3 linked regions of the Oreochromis niloticus genome follow. The protein of the gene in region 3 purifies or fractionates together with the protein of the main gene of each other region. This does not show direct contact. Links are inferred from orthologs where the notes say so. Each region holds a gene or a part of one and is shown on either strand. Other genes may lie near its edges.

Region 1 (7,488 bases), on a different chromosome or scaffold from region 3:
GTCAGGTGGTATATCGTGATATATATCGTTATCGTGATATAAAATAATTCATATCGTGATAAATATTTTTTCCATATCGCCCAGCACTACACCACACCATGGGCTGGGACCAGCTGTTGGGAGTCACTGCAGTGACGACAGCTGGTCCTTGTTTCAAAGATTTTTCTAAAAGTGAAATCTGAAGGATTAATCTGAGTCTGTGAGATGGTGAAGGGGCGGGGCTACGAGAGGCTCTTGACTCGCCTCTTCAGCTCGTCTTCAGAGGGAAACGAGACATCAAAGCAAAAGCTGTCAGAATAAATTCAGCCTGTGACTGCGTGTGTTTCAGTGTCGTACCTGTAGCAGTCCTTCCCGTACGGACACGGCGTTCTGACTCGGGCTTTGGAAGGGGCGGGGCTGGACTCGGCGTCTCCGTTCGACCCGGCGGGCTCGGCTCGTTTAGACGTCCCGTTGTTTTCAGACATCTTGCCCTCTTTCTCAGACTCGTTTGCTTTGTCCTCCGCTTCCGCCTTCATGGTGAAGCGGTCGTTCTCGCCGCTGTCCTCAGACCTGTTTGGTTTAGCCGGATGGTGGGCGGCGGCCTCCTGAAAGTCAGAGGACATATTAGTCTCTTAGGTCAGGAGGCGGAGTTTAAACCTGGAAACAGAAACTCTGCTCAACAGGTCTTACCTCAGGTTGTTCTTCGTCATCACTCAGTTTTCTCTTCTTCTTCCTCGGCCTCTCCTCCTCCTTCCTGCTGAACTCCGCCTCCTCAGGTGAGGAGGTTGCTGTGGGCGTGGCTTGTGCGACAGCTGCTCGTTTAGTGGCAGGTGATGGCGCTGCAGGTCGGCAGGTCCGAACTAAACAGACATTTTCAAACAAATAACAAGTGACAGGATCAGAAAGGGCGCCCCCTACAGGCAGAGGGAACACAGGACGGGTCTTGTTACCTGTCGGGGTGGAGGACGGAGTCTTTGCAGCAGGTACAGCCACCAGCATCCATGCAGGTAAAACTCTTCTCCTGGTCACAGACGGAGCGGCGTCTCGCTGATCATCCTTCGCCGATCCCACCGAGTCACCCTGAAAGAAACGCAACGAGACGACTTCACTGATTGGCTGCTCACTTCCACGCTGCCATCCACTGAGCCACTGACACACCCACTGTGGGGTCAAACATGTGAAGCTGTCTGCTGTGGCGCCCCCTGGTGAACGAGGGAGGATCTGCTGTCAACCAAAGTTTCCTTTATTATTACAATAATTCCTGTTCTGATGATGATTTCTGTCAGTGTGTTTTTTGTTGTACTTGTTGATCTGTTTGTTTGTGTCATAACTTCATTTATAAACTTTTTTTTTTTAAATAAACTATTCTAAAGTTTCATGTTTCTGTCACATCACATTGACCCTGCACTCTGAAAAGCGCCTCCTTGATTAAATATTCACACTTGCTGATGTCACTCTTAGGCCCCGCCCCCCTGAGGAGTCTTCCAGCAGTTTCTCGTCTCTGAAAAGTTCAGCCTACCTTGAACGGTCTCTCGGCCTCCTCGTCTTCCTCCGGAGCTGCTGACGGCGGCGGCTCCTCCTGGTTCAGTCTGACAGCTGGACGTGGATCCACAGCTGGATCAGGAGGAACAGCAAGTGTCTCTTCTTCTTCTTCTAACATCTGGCTGTTCCTGTGGGGAGCGACACTGATGCAGATAAATGTTAACTTCTGTGAGACCTTAACGCTGCGAGCTGGAAGCTCAGCGTGAATTTTAACTGAGCTGATCAGCATTAACTTTGATGTCAACTTCAAAGAGCACGACGGCTCCAGGACAAAAGAAAACGTAAACCTACGCTGTGCCTAATGTTCCGACCGAGTGTTTAACCCCGCAGGGCGCAGCCCGCACAGATAAAAGAGCTCTCGTTACCTGAGAGCAGCCTCCACCTTCATTATTCAGCGAGACGGTTCGAGTCTTTGTCTCGACCGACATCAGCACAGAAAGGAGCGTTTTTCAGACGTCAGAAGTACCTTGGCGTGCGCTCGTCTCCGCCCACTGACACCACCTCGTAGATAAACCGACCCGGCAGCAGAGAGAAGAAGTCTCCATGACGGAGGACGTGCCAGGAACCTTTCTGCAGAGGTCGAGGGTCATTGGTGGGGGTCGACTGAATGAAGCACGGGTTCAGGTGTGTCTGAGGACCGAAACAGCAGGAGGTTAAACCGAAACTCAAACAACAACATTAATAATAATAATAATAATAACAATAATAATGGAATTAAAAATCTGCCAAAGCAACAGGAACCAAGGCTGAATTTAAAGCAAAAGGGAGATTTCTATGATATGAAACATGAAGGAAAACAACCAGACTTCTATATTTATTAATAATGTTGAATAATAAAATGATTATGTAATAAAGCTAATGTAATAAGAAACAAAATCTAAACCTAAACCTGTGGCCTGCTTCACATTCAGGAACAGGAGGAAGGACGAACGTACGGCTTTGAGGCGTAGCTCTCCGCTCAGGTTCTCCAGCAGCCCGTGGTGTCTGGAGACTCGCTTATCACTGATCTGAGACGGGAAACAAGGCAGCGTTTACAGACGTCTCCGGCTGTTTCTGTTACAGTATTACTCTAAATAAATCAAACAGACTCGAGCTCAGCCATGATGAATGAAGGGAAGCAAACCAGGTCTCAGAACAAAGACAGAAAAACAAGAGAGTTGTTTTTTAAACAGGAAGAGGTCAAATTTTACACCCTCGACAAATTATACAGACATGATGGGTGGCTCAAGATTTTTGCACAGTGGCCAGTTGTAGCCTTATAAAGCAAGGGTGGGGTTTAGATCTCACCCTGGGTGAACACACCTGGATCAGATGATTAGTTCATCACCAGGCCTCTGGAGAACTGGAGGGCATTTAAATGAATAGATGAAGGACACCTCTAAACCTCGAGGCTTGGAGTTCCCCACCCCTGTTTTAAAGGATACACCTGAGCAGCATCCTGTTGCCTCCTATTGTATTTTAAGGAACTGGCAGGAGGACGGAGGAGGGTCAAAGTTCAAGGTGCTAGCTTATGAAGCCCCGCCCTCTCTGCGTCAGCAGATCAGTGATCCACCTGATCACGTCTGGTCACTTTGTTATTGATAGTTATGGGCTTTAAATCATGTTTTTAAGTGAAGCTAAGCTTCTCTGGATTTATCACGTGATCAAAGATCATGTGCAGCTGTAACGAGCAGAAGTCTATAAATGATCCGCGGTCATGTTTCCAGGCTGAAGAGGAGAGGAGGACTCACTCCCAGTAACGGGCCCCGGCCCAACACCGTCTCTCCGGGTGGCAGGTGGACCGGATCCCCGCCGTCCACCGGGACCAGGTCGAAGCCAGACATCGGCTCGGCAGAGCGGACGGAAGCAGCTGCACCCCGCTGGAGGAACGTGGAGGAAAACAGAGAGCAGCGCCACGCTTCGACAATTCAAAAGGTTTCAGGTTAAAAGCAGCTTCTCGGAGTGTGGAGGGGAACCGGACCGAGCAGCAGCGCCGACACAACTTCAGTTCAGCAGCACCGTTCAAAACTTCCGGGACGGAGCGGAGCGTGCGCACTGAGTCTCTGACCTCACTCACCGAACTCCGCCCAGAATCTCCCTGATCTTTTATTAATCTTCATTTAAAAAAAATAAAACTAACCTTACCTGTGCTAACCTCGGTAGCACGGCAGAGTAAGAAATGCTTTACAGTTTAATTTTATAATTAGAAAATTAAGAAAATCATATATTCAGCTGTTTTCAAATTTAAATTAACGGACGTTTATGCCTTGCACGCATGCGCCAAAAATCAAAATATGATGACGTAGCGTACATTTGTAAACATCCGTTAGGACATTTAAACCGTGTGAGCTGTCTGTCAGAGACCTCACGGAAGGTAAGACACCGGTTTTCTCTCGCGCGCTGCCGCGTTCTTATCACACACACCGGGACACGTGCACGGTCTGTTTCCCAGTTAAAGTCGGTGTTCGGTCTGAAAGCGGAAGCGGCCGGTGGAGTTTTTCATGAACTATTAGCTGTTAGCTGTTAGCAGGGGCGGAGGCGAGTCGTCGGGTTGAAGAATTAAAATCAGGTTTTGTTACTAAAAATCAGAGCGTCGGCCAAAACTAGAGCTTAGTCCTCTGCAGGGCCACACAGGACAGTAATAACGTGGACATTTATCACGCGCTGAGCTTTGAAGACAGAGACAGGAAGCAGTTTGTGTTTGGGTGACGTCTCCAGGCTGGGTCCGTGGGGACCCCACTGTTCATGTTTCTCTTTCGGTTTGACGTGGGAGCCCTTCACCTTCTCGTCACGCCTCTCTGCACGGAATCTTTCTGGTTCATCTACATCTCACAGGCCTTTGTGTCCTTGTTTCAAAACGTTTCGCTCTTTTCTGCTTATTTTGTGTGAAACCTTCATTATTTAGCAGCTTGATCTTCTCCTTACTGGCACTTTGCGTCATTACTCTCTCTGAGGTCCGTTTCTTTCTTTTCTCGCTCATTTCAGTGATTTTGTGTCTTTTTTCTCATCTCATCTTTCTGTCTCTCTCTGGGTGTTTCGGGATATTTTCTTCCCCCCCGATTCTTTATTTATGTCTTTGTGATGTAATTATTTTACTCTATTTTTTTTTTTTTTTTTTTTTTTTTAAACCTGCATTTTATTTCGCTTTTCCTGCCTCTGTACTTTGAAACATGTCGGTGCTTTGATGAAGAATCTCAGGCTTCACTGTGATTTCTCTTCATCCTTAACTTGTCCTCCACAGTGTGAGTTAAACAGTCTGAGGTCTTTACGTGGAATCTATGACTCATTTCTCCATCGTTGTCGGCTCTCTTTCCTCAGGCTCTTCCACTCAGTCTGACTCTATTATGCAGCATGTGTGTGGGAGGACTCCACCAGTGTTTTTTCTCTGTGAAGGAAGCCCCGCCCTGACGGCAGCCGAAGGCACCGCCCCACCTCGCAACTTTGCTGAGACGCTGCCGACAGAAATGACCGTGAGGATCTTTGGCGAGCTGGACGCGACGAGCCTGTGCAGCGCGGCGAGGACCTGCAGGCTGTGGCATCAGATCATCGAGCAGAGCGAGCAGCTGTGGAGGAAGCAGTGCCTGATGGTCCGAGCCATCTGCCAGAGGGAGGTCGACAGCGACCGGAGACACGGCCTCTCCTGGAAGGTTCCTAACATATTATGTCATTAAACTTAGAAAACATCTCAGATTCTTCTGAACCTTTTCCAGGTTAATGATCCGCTTCAAACAGGAATTATGCTCATTTCAGGTCCTGCTGTCATTAATCTAAAAGGGATGAAGGTCAGAGGTTTTAAACATTTTTCCATCGATGTTTTTCTGAGGGATCTGATGCCGATGAAGGTCATGTGACCTGTGTCAGCAGGTTTGCAGGTCAGAGCTGAGATTTGATCTCCAGGTTTTCATATCAGCTGAGTTGATTTATGCACATTAAATCCTGAATATTCCAAAAAGCATCACAAACTTGGGATGCAGTTTTCACAGACACTTTCTATAAAGTTAGGTTTGGTCCACGGTGTCACACCCGTGGAACGTCACGCTGAAGACAGACCACCTTTTCATATTCAAGCTTTAAGTCCCTCAAAATATATTGTTGGAAAAATGTCTAAGAACACCTCGCCCTTTGTTTGAGCTGAAATTTTGAATAATTTCCCCGAAGAATTGGATCCCTGGCCTGGAATAGTTTTTAGGCAAACATGACAGAGTCAGCTGGGAATTATTTTGATGGAATGAAGCCGCTCTGTCAGAGCCATCAGCTTTCTTCTGATTGGGCTTCTGCTGGAAGGTTGCTGAAGGGCAGAACCTGTGACTGTAGCAGATGTTCCAGCTGTTCTCACTGAAGTGTTGGATATACTCATAACATTACAACTGTTAGTAATGACTGTGAAACAGAGCGGAGTGAAGACTTGTCCACATGTCAGACGTCTCACGCTGCAGCCATTTATTTTAATGCCATTATTAAAAACTGCTTTTAGTCCAGCTTATAAAACTAGCGTCACCCAGAAACAGCACAACTGTTTTCTGACCGTTTCCTGTCCTCAGGTGATCCTGGTGAGGAACTACATCCGCAGCCGTGTGAAGAAAGACTGGCTGATTGGACGGTTCAGCCACGTGAGGTCGGCGGACGAGCTGAGCGGCAGGAAGCTGACGCCGCTGGATGCGGAGACCTGGGGCGAGATCCTGGAGGCCGAGCTGGATCGATGACGTCGTTCCGGTTTTATCAAAGCACCTCGAGCACTTCTGATTTTTAACTCTAATATATTCCCCCTGCAGTTTGTGTTTCACGGGAAACGCAAACTTTTGTACATATTTTTTAATTTTTTTATAGAAAAAAATCACAGAGAAACAAAGTGAAACTTTTTTTTTTTTTTTAAATTTGAGCCTTTTAGTTTTGGGTTCGTGTAAATATGACGATGATACAATAAACCATCTTTGTGAGGTTGTGCTGACTCGGTTCTTTTTAATGACACATCACAGCTTCTCCCATCAAGCAAACACGCAGCACGCCACACAGACTCACAAAGAAATCAGTGTGACAGTCTGTGATTTCAGACCAGCAGAAATATAAAAGCATAAAGTCATGCACACCTGCAGCTTACCGACACGCAGGAACATCAAACTCAAGTTTACTTAAATCAGCTGTGTTTATCTGTTTTTAACGTTTTTGCTCAAAGGTAACAAAGATGTTGCTTTGGCCACCAGGGGGCAGTGTTTGGCAGGTGTGAACATATTTTGAACACATTTGTGTTCAAAATGTGTTGACACAAATGTGAACACATTTCCTGCCTGTGACGTCATGTTGAGCGTGCACAGGTGTTGTATTTTTCTGTCTAACCTGTTTTATGTCTTTATAATCAGTTTCGAGAGCTCTTCATTAAACTGGTCGTTCTTTTGTTTTTAACCTTTTACAAATTTCCCGACTTTCAGATGAACTTATTTTTTAATAACAGCCCACCTGTGACATTTATTGACTTTTCCTAGCCCCGCCCCCGACATTTGCTTTGCTATTTGCGGCTGCAGTCTTTTATTTTGAAAGCAGCTGTCACCGGAAGCCGTGTGAGCGTGCAGCTTGATTCTGGTCCTTCCTCAGCATCTCTCTCACCCGTCCGCCTCCCCCTCCCTGAGCTCGGCGCCATGGACGACGTCCCCCCGATCATCAACATCTCCATCGCGCTGCGGATCCAGCCCAACGACGGCCCGGTCTTCTTCAAGGTGGACGGGACCCGGTTCGGCCAGAGCCGGACCATCAAGCTGCTCACGGGCTCCAAGTACAAGATCGAGGTGGTGCTGAAGCCTGGAAACGTCGAGGCCACGTAAGCATCTCGGAGCAGGCTGCTGCTGTGTGTGCGGCACGCCAGCGCGCATGTGCGAGAAATGATAAAGAACGTCTGCAAGAGGTGATGATGAGGAGCAGGCTGCTCCTGCTCCTCCTGCAGGCCGCAGCATCCGACACCTGCCTGAATAAATCATACGGGGATCACGTGTCGTT
Region 2 (7,683 bases), on a different chromosome or scaffold from region 3:
AAATTTCTCTGAAGACAGTGGGCGACTCACTCTGGGGGAAGCCAAGGAGCTTCAATCTGGACCGTATTTGTGAGTGAGGAAAACAATGCATGTCCTCTTTTCTACTTTTTAAAACACTTTGATTTTTTTTCACATGATAAATATTGCATAGAAGAATTATTAGTACAATCAGACAATCCCCCGCATGAAAAGTTATTTAAAAAAAACAAGCTGCATGAAGTGCATACGTGTCTCAAGCAGATTAACTATTAAATAAACTTTAAAATGTTTCCCGTGAAAACATATTTTCTTAAAGCTAAAATAAATTTACAGGAAGAGCATTAAGCAATTCTTTTTATCTTTACATTTATAAATAAATATTCAAATTTTATTTATATAGCACCAATTCACAACTACAGTCACCTCAACACACTTTATATTGTAAGGTAAAAGCCCCTGACAATCACACAGCGCCATATTAGTAAGAACTTCATGAGATTGGGAGGGAAAAACTCCGGTTTAACAGGAAGAAGCCTGACTAACTGTTTGGGGGTGAATCAATATCAAGTACAGGAAAAACACAAAAGAAGAAATATGGGATTATTAATTAAACAGTCTTGTTTCTATCACATATGAGTAGACTTGTTCAGTAGTTCGAGCACTAATGGTCGTTGTAAGAGAATTCGTCTTTTTGCTTGTATGATTTTTATGTTTTTAATACACTAAAGTGTCAAAACCATAATGATGGAGATTTTCCTTCTTGGCAGACACCCCTGAAGCTCCTGTCATCAGTGGCATCATGTCAGCCACAGAAGGACAACTGGTCACCCTGAACTGCTCTGTCAACTACCACTGCCCCTCCAGACTGCCTGATCTGCAGTGGAGGTGGGAGCGAGGAGCCCAGAAGAACATAACTGAACCTGGGGAAGTAACGACACTCTACCCAGATCCCCACAGGAAGATTTTACTGGCCTCTTTGACCTTCACTGTAACACACCAGGTGAAGTCCAAGCTCAGGTGTCAGGTCATCTTCCCAGGTCCTAAAACACTATCCACTTTGAAGGACCTACATGTGACGTGTAAGTATAGATTTGACTAGTGTATTTGTGTTTCTTGGGTCAGTAAGCTAAAACCTTTCTTTTTGCCTTTTATGCTCTTAGTTCCTCCGAAAGATGTGAAGATTCAAGTCCAGACCCTGACAGTGAAGGAGGGGGGCAATGCACTGCTGATGTGCTCATGTAAGGCTGACCCTCCAGCAACAGAGTACCACTGGTCCTATAGTCAACATGGCCGCACTGTGCACCTCCATCAGCGAACGCACACAGTCCGGCTGTACAACGTGACTCGAGATATGAGGGTCCAGTGCACAGCTCAGAACCTGATTGGCCGAGGAGAATCTCGGCCCACAACTCTTAATATACAATGTAATTCTACCTCTTCTTGATCTTCTCTGCATCCCATACATACGTGTTGTTAGGTTGCATCCAACTAACCAAACCACAGGATTTGATTTAACCAGGCACTTATTTGGCATCAAATTAACAAGGTTCAAAAAGTATAAAAATGAGCATGATAAAAACAGACGAGGGGGATAATAAAAGGAAAATAAAACAACTACAGGTGCATAATTCAAATCCAACTGACAAGTAAAAACTGAAATCTGAACTTTGAACTCTCCCAGGAGAAAAGCAATTGTTAAGTTTCAGTCGTGTCTGTAGGTTAGTCCATGACTGGAACACAAAAATAAGGGAAAGAAAATAAGCTTTTGTTGTGTGAAGATCTGAGCAAACTGTAGATAGACTGCAGAGCAGCCATTGAGAGCAACAAAAAACAGGTGATTATACATTAACCAGTATGGATTTGAAAATAAAGGGCAAAAAAAAACTGTTTATCATTCAGTGCACTATTATGTGTACTGGATGATAAACAGGACAATTAAATCCCAATGAGTTTGTCTTACACAGAGTTAAATGTGGAGCTTCTGCAGGCATCTACTTGATTTCACTGACCAAACAGTCTGCAATGCCTGTAAAGACACTAATCACAGCCAATAAATAGTGAATGAACTGTTGTTTTTACATATGTCAAGTACTATGTGTGTCAAGTTTCTCATGCAACCCATTCAAAAAATTATAAAATTGCCTTTCAATCCTTAGACCCTGTGTTTTGTGTAGACATATCCTCATAAATATTATTGAGAACCTAATGACAGTATTATCTCTTCCAGATAAGCCAGCCATCATCCAGCTCTCCTCCACCTGTACTGTAGAGGATTCAGAGGTCGTGTGCCAGTGTTTGGTCGACTCCAACCCCAAACCTGCAATCACCTGGAGCGTTAATGGGTCTGTTCCACCTCAAGATTACAACGTGTCTGTAACATCGGAGCCCAGTGTGCTAACGGCTATTCTGAGAGGGCAGATGGAAAAACCTCAGAAGGTGATTTGCTTTGCTTTCAACGCTCTGGGAAACGACTCGCTGGTCTTGCTGCAGGGAGAAGAAGGTGTGTTCAAAGCACTGCTTTTCCATACTAAGAAAGACAACAGCCCTGCCTCTTGTTTATTCACTCTGATGTCTTGCTTGTGCTGAAACTTCTGTGCAGCATGCCTGCAGCTTAAAAACACAAGTAGAAGAAAAGAAGCTGCAAAGAAAACCAAATAATTTTCTTGAGCTATGATTGGAAAATCTGATTTTTCTTGTTTGCACTGAAGTTTGAAGTTGATATAATCCAGTGATGGGATACTATATGCTGATCCTCTGCTGCTCTTGTGGTCCACATACAGAGACAGCATTTTTCCTGTGGTTGATTTTACCTGCTGTCACCGTTGTCCTGGTCATATTCCTCCTGGCCCTTCTTGTCTACTACTGCAAAAAGAGAGCTAGAAAGTATGTACAGAAACACTTCCTGTTAAAAGTTTGCTTGGATTGTGTCACGCCTAATTATCAAGTCTATCGAATACCTGTTCTGCTTCTCTCAGGCACATTCTAAGAAGACATCCCACCATGTACCCTGGAGGATTGGAAATTTATCAGGACAGGATGCCTCTTTATATAAACTGCACAGAAGTGACTCATGTTTACACCAATGGCAGCTACCAGCTTGTGTACCAGAACTGCACGCCTCTTTTTGTCCGCACTAAGCAGGTATTTGATAACCTTGATCTTTCAGTGGACAGTTTGTCCAGAGGAAATACCAAATCATTTCTTCCAGTGACAACAGCTGCTCTCCTTTTTTAGATCCGTCCAATGGGCAGGAGAGGTGGGGAGAGACGAAGACCTGGACCAGGTGGAGGAATTAACCAACAAGCTGGTCAGGAAGTCAGAGGCGTAAGAGAGGTGCAGGGTACAGCTGTGGAAGATGCAGAGACGGGCATCTACCTGGAGATTCTCTAAGCACAAAGCTAAATTACAGTTACATTGTACACTGGATTAATACTGGTTGTTATTCAAATGTTTCTTTAGTTCTCAGGATATTGCATACAGTGCAAATCGATACGTGTATATATATATGTCATTTGCATTTGATAACAATGCACTCTGATCTGTGGTAGGTCTATCTTTCTTCTAGTTTCCAAACTGAACAATTTCTGCCATCGAGTGACAGAGATGTGCTTTGCTCTTCAAAAAAAAGGGAGAGATGAAAAGGTTTGATGAAACAGTTTTCATCATTTTATCTGTGAAGCCCTTGAGGAAAAAAAGAAAACAGACCCTCAAATCTGATGTAGTCTGACCAGACCAGTCAGTTGCATTTCTAAAAGCAGCTGGAGCACAAAAGTGATCCTCAGGAAGCTTTTAAAGTTTCTCTGGAAGGACAAAGAGCTGCTCCAGCTGTGATGAAATGTATAACATTCATTACATCAGCAGTGACTCTGTTGTGTTAAGCATACCTGGAAGTTTTTCTTGTCTTAGAACTTTAATGCCTACTTTATGGCTATTGTTCAACTAATTTCCCATAGTGTTCATCACTTGAGTATATGTATTTCAAGAGTTCAATTGTAAACAACAAAAAGAATAATGCAGAGAATCCTTCCTTTCATGCTCATCTATTTGAAAAGTCAAATTTATTTACATGTTTGATTGTGAACTTTTTTTCTTCACTTTTTTTGTATGCATACTGAATCAGTGCACATTTATTTACACTGGTCTGTACAAACGTTGCCTATATTACATCTTCTAGAGCTTTCTTATCTAATTTTATACAACTGTAATTATGTGTATATTGCTGATTGATGATGCACTCTCAGTTTAAAAACAAAAACCTATTATTGGGCTCTTTTTGTTGCTGGTGTAATGCATAATTTTGGAGATATGGTGTTATCGAACACTGACAGCTGAAAGACTATGAATTCAGAAATCTAATGTACATTCTTCCTGCTCTGAGATCTTAAACTATCTGCTCACGACGTTTAAAAGTGTATATTTTGTCACAAAAGAGATAAACTGCACCAGATTTGAAACGGTTTCAAGAGCAAGTCCTCTGTTTGAATGTCTCTTCACATGGTGACCGACTGGTGGCAATATAAACCTCAGTGACACAACAATTAAATCACAGAAGAAGAAAATAAAGCTCTGATTGGATAGAAAAGTTGTTAGTCGGAAGGTACGTCACATCCTGGCGTTTACAGGCTTTTGGTGGGAAAATGTGTGCACCTTCACGCACATTTAACTCATAATCAAAATCTACAGTATGAATTTTCTGTAACAGCAGAGTAACGGATATATGTCATGCATATAACGCTGTGAACAGTTTACGAGGAACAGCCCTTTAGGTGTGCTAAAATCACCAAAACCATCAAGGAGAGTTGCCTATTGTTTGTTAGCATGCTAACATGTTAGTCAGCCGCTTATCTGACTAATAAGAAATTAAACTTTCAGGATTAAATCACTTCCAGTGGAGAGAAACTGGATGTGTTTTATGACTTGTTAGCCGTTTGCGATCGCTTCGTGGGGAGGCACGCGCCCGTTTGGTTTATGTGAGTGATCAGTGGACTAATCGATCAGCTTTTAGCCTGACGATCATCAGTAACAACAACGATATGCCAGAAATCAAACTCAAGCACGTCGTGTCGTGCAGCACCGAGGACTCTGTAAGTTCAGTATGATGTATTACTTGTGTGAGATTTGTATGAAGAAAGCTGAGCTGTGAGGCTGCTTCATACTCACATATGTTGTGTTACAAAAACAGACACACAAGGCAGACAACCTGCTGAGCTCTGACACGTACAGAAAATGGAAAGCAGCCAGACCCGGGGAGAAGCAGATATCAGTCATTCTGCAGGTTTGTTTGTTTTGTTTTTGTTTTTTGTGTTCAAGTGACAGCAAACTAATTCAATAACATGTGAGTTGTCGTTGACGATATTAGTTAGATGGCACATAACACAAACACTAAACCACACACATGTAACTTTGGGAGAATCATACAATCTAATGAATTTAAACAAACTTTTTATATTTGCTTTCTTTCCACTAAAAGAAGTTTACATACAAATTATAATTATAAAGTGAATTTCAGACCTTGTGTCACCGCCCCTGCGGATAACCTGGTCCACTGTCTCTGCTGCCAATCCCACAATCACGACTGAGAACAGTCTCCTTGAAAAGATCAGTTGGCAAGCTCGCAATCATCTTTCAAATCTCTGTTTTTACTTTTTAAAAGTATTTAAGTGCTCATATGTTATAAAGATGCTTTCTGTACCCTCACCTTCAGTTATGTCTTTGTTGTCCTTCATAATTGTTTTATCACTTTCTCCAAGTAATCATTTATTTTAGCTTTTTTCCAATCTTGCCCTGTGAAGAAGGGAGGGGTGGCAGATGGCTGCTGGAGGTTTGTTCCTGTTAAAAGGGAGTTTTTCCTTCCCACTGTCACTAAAACGCTTGCTCATAGGGGGTCATATGATTGTTGGGTTTTTCTCTGTATGTATTATTGAAGGATCTACCTTACAATGTAAAACACCTTGAGGTGAGGGTTGTTGTGATTTGGCACTGTATGTATCAAATTGAACTGAATTGAAGCGGTTTGTAACTTTGTTTTGAAAGGTGCTATTAAATAAAGTTATTTCTACTGTTATTAGATAATGATGATCAAACATATTTAAAGTTATGATCTAAGTAATCTCTAAGTTGTGCTCTAAGTTGCTCTAAATAATCTGTTTATCTGGTACATCACCAAATAAAATCGTATACAGATAGATCCAGGTACTTTTAACATTTTATTTGTTATCAATCATGTCTTTCTTACCATACAGACAAATTTGGCGATATTTCCATTTATCTCGAAAAAGCTGAATTTGTCTTTATTGTGCAGGGATCAGAGAGCTGAATGCCAGTACCACATGGTTTTAGATTCATTCGGGTAGATTGTGTGTTGATTCTTCTCTCGCTTTACTTTCTGCCTTAGAATAGATTTTTTTTTCAATCTTTATTTAACATCAGCTCTTGAGATTAAGAATCTCTTTTAGAAGTGTGTCCTGTGCTTCCTTGAGAAGTATTACCATGCAACTTTTACTTTTTTCCTCAGTTTGAAAAGGAAGAGCAGGTGCACAGCATTGACATTGGAAATGAAGGTTCAGCTTTCATTGAGGTGTTGGTGGGGAATTCTTCAGCTGTCAGAGATCAGGACTATGAGGTATTCTTACAAAAATATTAAATTAACTTCCTGAATGCTATATTGACTTCATTTCATCCAGTCTGATTTTAATCTCACTGTTTTAGGTTCTCCTGGTTACGTCTTCCTTCATGTCCCCCACGGAGAGCCGCAGTGGCACCAACATGAACCGTGTGCGTTTCTTTGGGCCCAACCAGCTGCAGAAGAGCACAGCTCAGGAGAAGTGGGACAAAGTGAAAATTGTGTGTAGCCAGCCATACAGCAAGGTAAGAGCCTAAGAGTGTTTGACGTGTAATATGACGAGCCCTTTGTAATTAGCAAATGTATCTATGTTTAAGACTGAAGCCGTTTATGGAATGATGACAATGTCTGAATACAGTAGTGGAACGGGACCTGGTGCATAGTGTCAAATGAAAGCAATGTAATTGCAAGCAACAGCGCTGTGTGGTTTTCCAGTTACAGTAACTTTGTTGTGCAATGAAATATAAGCACTGAGATCATCTTTCCAGATCCTTTGTCTCAGGTATCCTGTTGTTGAGGCTGTTTGAAGTTGTAATGGAGTTTGAATTGTGTCTCTTTGATGCAAATATAATGTGAATCTGTCTTTGCTCTTTATAGAATATTGCATATGGGCTTGCCTTTGTTAAGTTTCATTCACCACCTGACAAAAATGATCCTCCTCCAACTTCCTCCCCAGTAAGTACTCCACTGAGACCACAGACACCAATCAGGAAAAACAGTATGACCTCTGACAGGTGACGTGAATAAGACAGATTATCTCTTCATCATGGCAAATGTTAGTGGGTGGGATGTATTAGGGAGCAAGTGAACATTCTGCCCTCAAAGTTGATGTGTTAAACGGAGGAAAAATGAGCAAGTGGGATGTCTGACAAGGTGATGGTACATCTCCTGTGGAGTGTTCCCAGTCTGCAGGGGTCAGTATCTATCAAAAGTTGTCCAAGGAAGGATAAGCGGTGACGGGGTCATCAGTGCACAGACAAGCTACTGTACTTTACCCTTTACAAAGCCTAATATTCTATTATAATATTCCATTTAACTCATAGACAGTAAGAAATATGAACATAGCTTTTGGATCGGAAAAA
Region 3 (8,014 bases):
TAAGGGTGGTCAACGCACTTCCTCAGGTTCATCAAGATGTTCAGCAGCCGAGTCTTGCTGCCTTGGTCATTTCCAAAAGCCTCTGAAAGAAGAGTTTTAGAAGCAGATTGAATTTACAAATGACTGATGCCCCTAAACAGATACTATTAGAACTATTATTTCCACTTGGCACCTTTAAAAACAGTCTACAAAGTGGAAAAAGACAAAATCAAACAACAACAAAATCAGTGTAAAGTTATGACACATGAAACAAGGACCCAAAAATGCAAAGCAAAAGGTCAGTAATATTAGTAAATACTAGGGATGTGTCCACAAGCTAACTAATCATCGCTGCTGTCACTAATCGGTGCCAGACTAATCTAACTGTTAAAATTTTAATTGATGCCCAATGCCGGTAAATTATTGTGTCCTAAATGTTATGCAGCCATCTGCCACCAGATGGCGCGTCGTTGTCAAGAAACGCAACAAATCTGTTAATCTAGGCTTTTATTGAAGTGACATGATAAATGGTTTCAAATGCCTTTGTTATGAGTTTTTGACAGTTCTCAAATGTAACTTAATACCCGAGTGTTTCTTAGTTGTAGACAAGTTGGTTAGTCTCATTTTTGTTCCTCGTTTAGTTGACTAATAAATTAGTCGCCAGGAACATCCCTAGTAAAACTAGTAAACTAATAATAAAAGCTATGAAGCAACCATAAGAGCTCAGAATATTCGTGCCTTGGGGGGCCTTGATCACCTTCAGGTTTATTCATCGACTTTGGAACAGACAAAAAAATAGCACATTTCTCCTACACAGCTGGAGGCCAGACCCAGAAGTACTTTAAGGTGATGAGTAAAACCTTAAAACCAACTCTAAAATAGAGAGAACTGATAGAGAGAAGTCAGGATTTAGTGGCCGTTATGCCAACTGTAAAAATCAGTGAGAAGCTGAGCTGCTGCTTTCTGAACCAGGTGCCTTCTTGCTAATGCTGTAAGTAAGAGGCAAGTAAGTACTGCAGAGAAAATGCATTTATAAATGACACAGCACACCAAGTGCCCAAGTCTCACCCAGATCCTTCATCAGAACAGCTTTGTAGTATTTCTTCTGCAGAGCGGACATGCCATGATAAACCACCAGCTCGGTTTTCTTGGGCAGATCAACGGCCACCTGAGATTTGACTCTACGGAGCAGGAAGGGCTCCAGGATGCTTTGGAGCTCAGCAGCTATAAAAGGAATAAGATTCATGGTTAACTTTCCTACAGTGCATTACTGTACTGTACTTTTTTGTGACCAATATCTCACCCATTATATTTCAAAACGTTTACTTGGATATGGAGAGACGCATAGACTCAGAAATAACACTGAATGTAAGCTATGCTTTGTTATGCTATAATTATGTACCGTACCCAAAGCAGGCTGACTTTGTACATCGGAGTAAGAGTTGACAAAGCTGTCTGTGTCTTCTGGTATAAAGATGCTGGGCTGGATGAAGCTCAGCAGGGAGTAGAGCTCCTGCAGGTTGTTCTGAATGGGAGTCCCTGTCAGCAAGACTCTGAATCCCACGGAGAACTACAAGAGAAGAACACAAACAAACTGATTTAAGAGGTCAAGGGAAAGCCAATGAAGAAATCTGCACAAACCAGGTGTTGCTCAGTACCTCTGTCAAAGTTTTGTGCAACAGCGAGTTTTGATTCTTCAACCTGTGAGCTTCATCAACCACAAGCACCTTCCACTTCCATCTGAGGGAGAGATCAGGGAAATATCAGCACATGAAAACTTTGTTCTCAGTGAACAAACCTTTTAAATAGACCATTATTCTCTTCCTTTTCTTCTGTCACATATAATTTGATACAAAGGTGGATTGCTTATATTAAAAATGGCTCACGTTTAAAAGAATGATCCCTCTCTAATAATCTCTGTAGATTACTACGGACACACAGGCTTCAGACTAATATAAAAGCTTTGTTTTTGACAGTTTTTTCTAGTCTTGGTTTTGTAGTGTGGCTGGCATAATATGGTCATCTCAGGCATACAGGTCGCTAACCTAGATAACTGCAGTTTAAGCCGATCTTACTGGGTGAGGGACAAGAAGAGCCGACACAGAGTGATCTAAAAGCAACATCTCTACGGATGCTGGTCCTTTTTTTCTGTCACCTCTTGCTTAAAACTATATAAACTTGTATTAGGACACCACAGTTAAATTTTCCTCACGGTACATTGTTTCCAGAGCAGTTTATGCAGAACAAGAATAAGCACAAACTCACCGTTTCAAGAATGATGCATCTTTGAGACACAGCTGGAAATAACAGTTAAAAAAAAACATATATCAGTTTTAACAAAGGTGAAACCTTATCCTGTTTTGTAGGATGTACGATTTTTGTATGTTGATAAAATAGCCTCAGACCTCATATGTAGTGAGAAGAACATGGAAGTCCTGAGAGTTCACCTCCTGCTGGATCTCTGCCCGCCTTTCTTTGTCTCCTTTGTAAACCAGGACCGTCAGTGAGGGAGCGAAGCTGAAAGTAAGGCACACACAGGTTTACAGACCGTGCTAAAAGCACATTATCAAATGAAATGCAATCACTGGTTAATGTAGCTCCACCTTTCCAACTCATTCCTCCAGTTCTCCAGGACAGAGAGTGGGCTCAGCACCAAAAATGGTCCTTTCTTCCCGAGGGCCCCTGACATGTACACCAGCAGAGAGATCGTCTGAAGGGATACATGATGATCAGGACACCATTAGACTTTTTAGAATCAACTTTTGTGCCACCCCCAGTGTAACAGATGCTCCAAGCCTGACCACCTATATAAAAACTGTCCAGCCATGCCACAGCTCTGGATTACAGGTAAACAGATGATGTCATACCTGGCAGGTTTTGCCCAAACCCATTTCGTCTCCTAAGATGCATCCCTGCTGGTTCTTCAGGCACTGAGTTAACCAGTGCACACCGTCCAGCTGGTAGGGTCTCAGCTGTATCCCTGTGAGGAGAAAGCACACAGATCATCACCGCTGGAGCACGTTTAAAATAATCCCTGGAAATTATATGTAGGACGGCGCTGAAAGTGGATTAATCTGCGTCTAAATCCGTTTAGTTTGTATCCACAGTAAACGCCATGTCACTGTGAATGAATGAAGACACCCTGAAGTTTGTATGTGCTCTGCAGGTCAGTCGTCCAGGTTAAAAATAGCCTTTCTACCTCTCAATCCCCATTTCTTCAGGTCACTTTGAGCAACATCCGCCTTCTTTTTCTCCGCGATGCTGTTTTTTATTCTCACCAAAATGTCCGACATGTTTGCTGACCGACAGGACTACAACTTATACGAAAGACGACTTTATGACAGAAATGTACAGGCATGCGAGTTCCCACTGTTGTTTTCATACAGTTTACGCTTCCTGACTGGGTCACGTGACGCTACGGAAAGGCGCGCGGTTTTTTAACTTCGCCAAAAGTTTGTTTTCTTTCTTGAGCAACGCTCATTTCTTTATATTTTGTTGGGAAAATGGGAAAAATATGCAAACACAAATGCAACTACAAAATATAAGGGGAAAACAGTTTTTAAATTCTAAAAACGGTTAAGAATTTGCACATTTTACAAACTTTGGCTTTTTGTGATAGGTCAGTAGTAACTAAGTGCCTGATAATACAATTTAAAGGTGCTTTGTTTGCTAGAAGTCACACTGGTTCATCTCTGAAGTCCGGGGTCTTTTTTATGCTTGAATTACCCCACGAGCTCAGAAAACAAAAGACATTCCTCTTTAAATGGTAGGGCTCGAGGACTGGACTGAAAATGAACGAAAAGGAGGCCAATGTCCAACGAAAAGACTTTAAAATTACAAAAAAAAGGCTCCTTAGAAACAAAATAATAAGAAAAAGTCCTAAAAGGTCCACAAATAGATAAGTGCTTTGGGTTTTAATGTGAAACAGATTTTCTGACAGTTTATTTTTGAAAATAGAAACAAGAACCAAAAATATAAACTTGTACTAAATGAGAGATAATTCCAGATAACTAAAAATTCACCATTAAAAAAAAATGCATTTTGCATATTATAATATTAACAGGACCAACAATCTAACACACCTGCATTAAGAAAAAGTTCTGTTCATACCCTTGTGTAGTATCGTGATGACATAATTTAAGTACTGATTAACTATTTGAGCTTCATATTCAAATACCAACACAATTTAAGATCATAAGAACTTTTAATAAAAATAGATTTTGTCTCTGAGCAAGATGAAAAACAAAACCAACAACAATAAATGTAAAAAGTTTAAAATTTTGATTTATTACAGATATTTACAAATATTACAAACAAAGTCTACAATCATCATAAACTGGTTAAATTTGAGTGCTCACCAAAAATTAATCAGATCAATCAATGAAGCACAACTGAGAAAAATAAATAGAAAATTTGCTTCTTTTTCACCTATAAACAGATGCCTGAGCAGCAGGAAGGGTCAGAGACTCTCTAAGGGAGCCAATTTTAGTAACTTCAGTAAGAGACCTGCCCCATTCTTCAACACTTCATCCAAGCTGAACCTTCACCCCAAACACACATGGCCTATTTGATGAACATGGCCAGCATCCTCATGATTGCTTCCCTGGAAGGTAAAGAACATAAACCAGACATTTAGGCTTTGAAAACCACTTTTTTTCTAAATATTTACATAGAAGATTTGAATAAATGGAGCAAAATCTACAAACCTCACACATGGGATGTATGACAAGCTGTACCTGAAAACACACACATTTTATGTAACCAAAAAAATTTAAGACTGAAAAAAATTAATTAAATATGAAGTAGAGACTCACCAGGTAAATGACAAGACTTGCAAGATAACAAACAACAAAGCAAGTCCAAAGTTCTTCCACTGTGAGAAAAAGACAGATATTGAGATCAAACGCTGAAATTTATTCCAGCAAATACACAGATCAAGTTAGAAGTGATCATAAGTATTTTTTGGAGGCTCACTCACCCAGAAAGCCGCACAGAGAGTCAGAACAAGGCAAGTCTAAAGCAATGACAGAGAGACTTTTAGCTTTAATTTGAAGGGTTTTAACAAAAGTCTGCGCAAACTGTTTTTGAAGTACAGCCATTTTTGTACACAGCCCCTCATTTTCAGGCTTTCACATTAACTGGACAAACTAACATAGTTGTAAATATAAGGATTGTTTAATACTTTGATAAAAATCCTTGACTGCTTAAAGTCTAGAAACCATGGATATTACCAAATGTCTTGCTCTGCTAGACCTTTACTTCTGCTGCCTTTATCTACTCCTAGTTTGTGAGTCTTTCTGCATTCAGTTATATAGTTCATAACTGAAAAGCATGCTCTATTGGTTTTCTCATTTCTTTGCCTGAGAAACTGTTGGGTTAGTGTGCAGTTTGCTTTCGGTCCATTTGCACTGTGAAGTGCAGTCTGGTCAGTTTATACCCATGTACACTTCACAGGTCATCCCGCAACTTCTATCAACAGTCACATGATCAATAAACACCAGTAACCAAGTTGCACTAGCAGCCATACATGCCCATGCAATAACATTGCCTCCATCATGTTTCACAGATGATGTGGTTCACTTCAAATCATGAGCAGTTTCTCTCCTTCTTTTCCTTTCCATTCATTCTGGTAGAAGGTCATCCTGGTTTCGTCTGTCTTATATTTTCTGTGGTCTTCTTTTAGGCTTTTTGGTTTTGCTGAGCAACTCAGTGCATTCCTTCTTTTTATGACTCTACCAGTTTGCTCATTTGGCTATTCCTATAGTTTTTGGTTTCTATCTGATGTTTTGTTTCAGCCCAGTGATGACCTCCCTCACTTGCACTAACATCTCTTAGGGCCTGTTAGTTAACTATAATACCCTTGCTTCCAGTTGTATATGCCAGAACTGCAAAGTATGATGCTTGGGCATGACGTAGGTAGGTGACATGGCCATGCTCATAACCATATTAAAGCTGAGAAAATCTTCCGATCTACAACACAGGTGTCAAATTAGTGTCTGATTTAATTATTTACCTACATGCAGTTTAAATATTTGCACACTGAGCCTTGCACTGAAAGAAAGAGGGTGGTAACCTAATTGCACCTGCTGTGGGACATTCTGAGAGCAAATCTTCCATCACAACAAATCTTGTAGTTTTAAAGAGATACGTATGCACATCAGCGTCTGATTTTTGTCAGTCCATCCACAACCAAGTTTTCTGAACTCTAGCTTGGTGTTGTCATGCAATCCTCTAAGCAGAAAGCTGTGTTATGCAATCCTTTCACCTTTAACCAGCTCTTGAACTCTTAAAGAAAACAGATTTTTTGCAATGAATCTAAATTTACTGAACTCAGTCCACTCATGTTTGTGTAACATGTTCTGTCTTTTGGGGGTTGATATTTTTTTTTTTTTTTGCACTTACCAACATAATTGTAGTAGCCAGCGCTCTTGTTTTGTCACACATCCTTTTCAGCTGCTTCATTGGGCCCATCAAAAACATTGTGCTATCGGACACAGTGAAATGTGCAAGAAAGAAAAGCATATATTAAGTGTGTAAAACATGCAAAATAAACTTCCCATTTCAAGGAATTTTTTCCATCACTAACCTGCACAGAGCACATATGTTGCCAAACGTGTAAAAGACAATAAAGAGAGTGATCCCAATCTTGGGGAGGAAGAGCGCACACACTCCCTGCAAGACACGTGAATGCAGGTGGATCACACGTCATGTTTTATAAGCCTCACTTTAAGGAGGGACTAGGCAGTGTCGCCAAATGAATGAGCATCACATCTTCAGCATTCCTCAGAGCAAGAAGAACCAGTAGGGCAACACCAGCTTTCTCTGAGCTCTTCCTCGTTGTGGAGAGCGACTGAATATTGTCGTAGAAAAAAAAACAAAACAAAAACCCCCCACAGAAATTAAATTCTTACCAGAACTGTGCATGCGGCTCCCACCACGAAGCAGGCGATGAATCCCTTTATACGTGTGCCCCAGCCTAAAGTCGAAGCTTGGTTCACTTGCTGCATTAGTAGAAATTGAATAAACGATCGATTAATGATCCAGCTGAGATTAATAGCCACAAGAGTGAAAGATGGGATTAGGGCTTTACCTGTATAATGTTCCGGTCATCTCTGCGCGCCTCCTCACCGCTCAGAACCGATTTTAATTTATCCATGCCCGAGGAGCCTTAAAATTCGGCTTAATTGGTGAAGAATTCTAGTTGTTTCCTGAACTGAGAGGAACTTTGCCGGGTCTTCTCAGATCTGTGTGAATGGACAACAGCGTCACTCGCCAGCAGAGGGAGAGCCGAAAGAGCTGCCAATACCTTACCTGGCCAGGTGGGTCACTTCATCTTAGTCACACCTGAACCGGAACAGCAGCAAAGACGTCTCACTCTGATCTTTTTTTCCAGACGTGACTCAGTGTTAGAAACATTTAAACGCACCACCCAGTACAGCCATGAGTGAACAAGAGGGTCCAGATACCACTTTTACTTATTTTTTCTGAGATATTAAGTTTTCGGTTAAAAGCATCACTGTAAAAATAACTATACAAGTTAAATAATTGTTTTGATTCCCCGTAATATCCCGCAAAGTGGTTTGGTCCATCGTATATAATTCGCTAGCTCCTTTACTTTGTAAAGCTGGGCTTAAAACAATTTATCTACTAGTTAGTGGTAGAAATAAGTTGTTACACCTCTCTTGCATTTCTGAATGAATTGATAGAAATAATCAAATAAAGCGCCTTTTGGGTTGTTCTTAGTATTTTAACACACCTAACTGCTTGTCATACCTCCATTAAATGTGCAAAGACTGTCACACAGAGGCTCAATTTTTTAATCTTGTCAAAATAGAACATCTTCGTTTATCCCTCTCGTCAACAGATGTTTTGTGTTGTCCTGCCCTGACAAAAATAAATCTGCACAAGCAGTTTACTAGGACTGATCATTTGGTATTAATGTGATTGTGTACTAAAAATCACGGGTTCTCAGGCATTTTAGGGCTAGTAGTAGTAGTCTTAGTATTTGAACTATTAGACACTACTGAAACTTTAA

The links.
Region 1: the proteins of chd1l (region 3) and aplf purify together in Homo sapiens (affinity purification with mass spectrometry; 4 studies listed by BioGRID and IntAct, counting the BioPlex papers as one, with this or other methods). This does not show direct contact. The link is inferred for Oreochromis niloticus from reciprocal best matches to the Homo sapiens genes CHD1L and APLF.
Region 2: the proteins of chd1l (region 3) and xrcc1 purify together in Homo sapiens (affinity purification with mass spectrometry; 3 studies listed by BioGRID and IntAct, counting the BioPlex papers as one, with this or other methods). This does not show direct contact. The link is inferred for Oreochromis niloticus from reciprocal best matches to the Homo sapiens genes CHD1L and XRCC1.

The regions. Positions count from the first base shown.
Region 1 is NC_031971.2:41,343,817-41,351,304, reverse strand, and holds the start of aplf (aprataxin and PNK-like factor), read right to left. Parts: upstream 3,386-7,488; 5' UTR 3,345-3,385; coding exon 3,252-3,344; intron 2,529-3,251; coding exon 2,457-2,528; intron 2,152-2,456; coding exon 1,988-2,151; intron 1,665-1,987; coding exon 1,499-1,664; intron 1,060-1,498; coding exon 930-1,059; intron 840-929; coding exon 670-839; intron 585-669; coding exon 337-584; intron 1-336. Other genes in the region: fbxo48 (F-box only protein 48), read left to right, coding at 4,845-5,147, 6,042-6,203; cnrip1a (CB1 cannabinoid receptor-interacting protein 1a), read left to right, coding at 7,134-7,312. UniProt on the Homo sapiens protein: Histone chaperone involved in single-strand and double-strand DNA break repair.
Region 2 is NC_031976.2:28,705,691-28,713,373, forward strand, and holds the start of xrcc1 (DNA repair protein XRCC1), read left to right. Parts: upstream 1-4,585; 5' UTR 4,586-5,012; coding exon 5,013-5,063; intron 5,064-5,161; coding exon 5,162-5,254; intron 5,255-6,493; coding exon 6,494-6,601; intron 6,602-6,687; coding exon 6,688-6,846; intron 6,847-7,198; coding exon 7,199-7,276; intron 7,277-7,683. Other genes in the region: myelin-associated glycoprotein, read left to right, coding at 1-69, 747-1,058, 1,140-1,403, 2,207-2,479, 2,760-2,862, 2,955-3,120, 3,214-3,369. UniProt on the Homo sapiens protein: Scaffold protein involved in DNA single-strand break repair by mediating the assembly of DNA break repair protein complexes. Negatively regulates ADP-ribosyltransferase activity of PARP1 during base-excision repair in order to prevent excessive PARP1 activity.
Region 3 is NC_031986.2:36,236,340-36,244,353, reverse strand, and holds the start of chd1l (chromodomain-helicase-DNA-binding protein 1-like), read right to left. Parts: upstream 3,399-8,014; 5' UTR 3,273-3,398; coding exon 3,179-3,272; intron 2,960-3,178; coding exon 2,847-2,959; intron 2,690-2,846; coding exon 2,583-2,689; intron 2,497-2,582; coding exon 2,385-2,496; intron 2,277-2,384; coding exon 2,245-2,276; intron 1,720-2,244; coding exon 1,638-1,719; intron 1,550-1,637; coding exon 1,387-1,549; intron 1,204-1,386; coding exon 1,048-1,203; intron 83-1,047; coding exon 1-82. Other genes in the region: sft2d2a (SFT2 domain containing 2a), read right to left, coding at 4,543-4,582, 4,686-4,715, 4,794-4,852, 4,958-4,993, 6,382-6,463, 6,566-6,651, 6,891-6,980, 7,070-7,135. UniProt on the Homo sapiens protein: ATP-dependent chromatin remodeler that mediates chromatin-remodeling following DNA damage.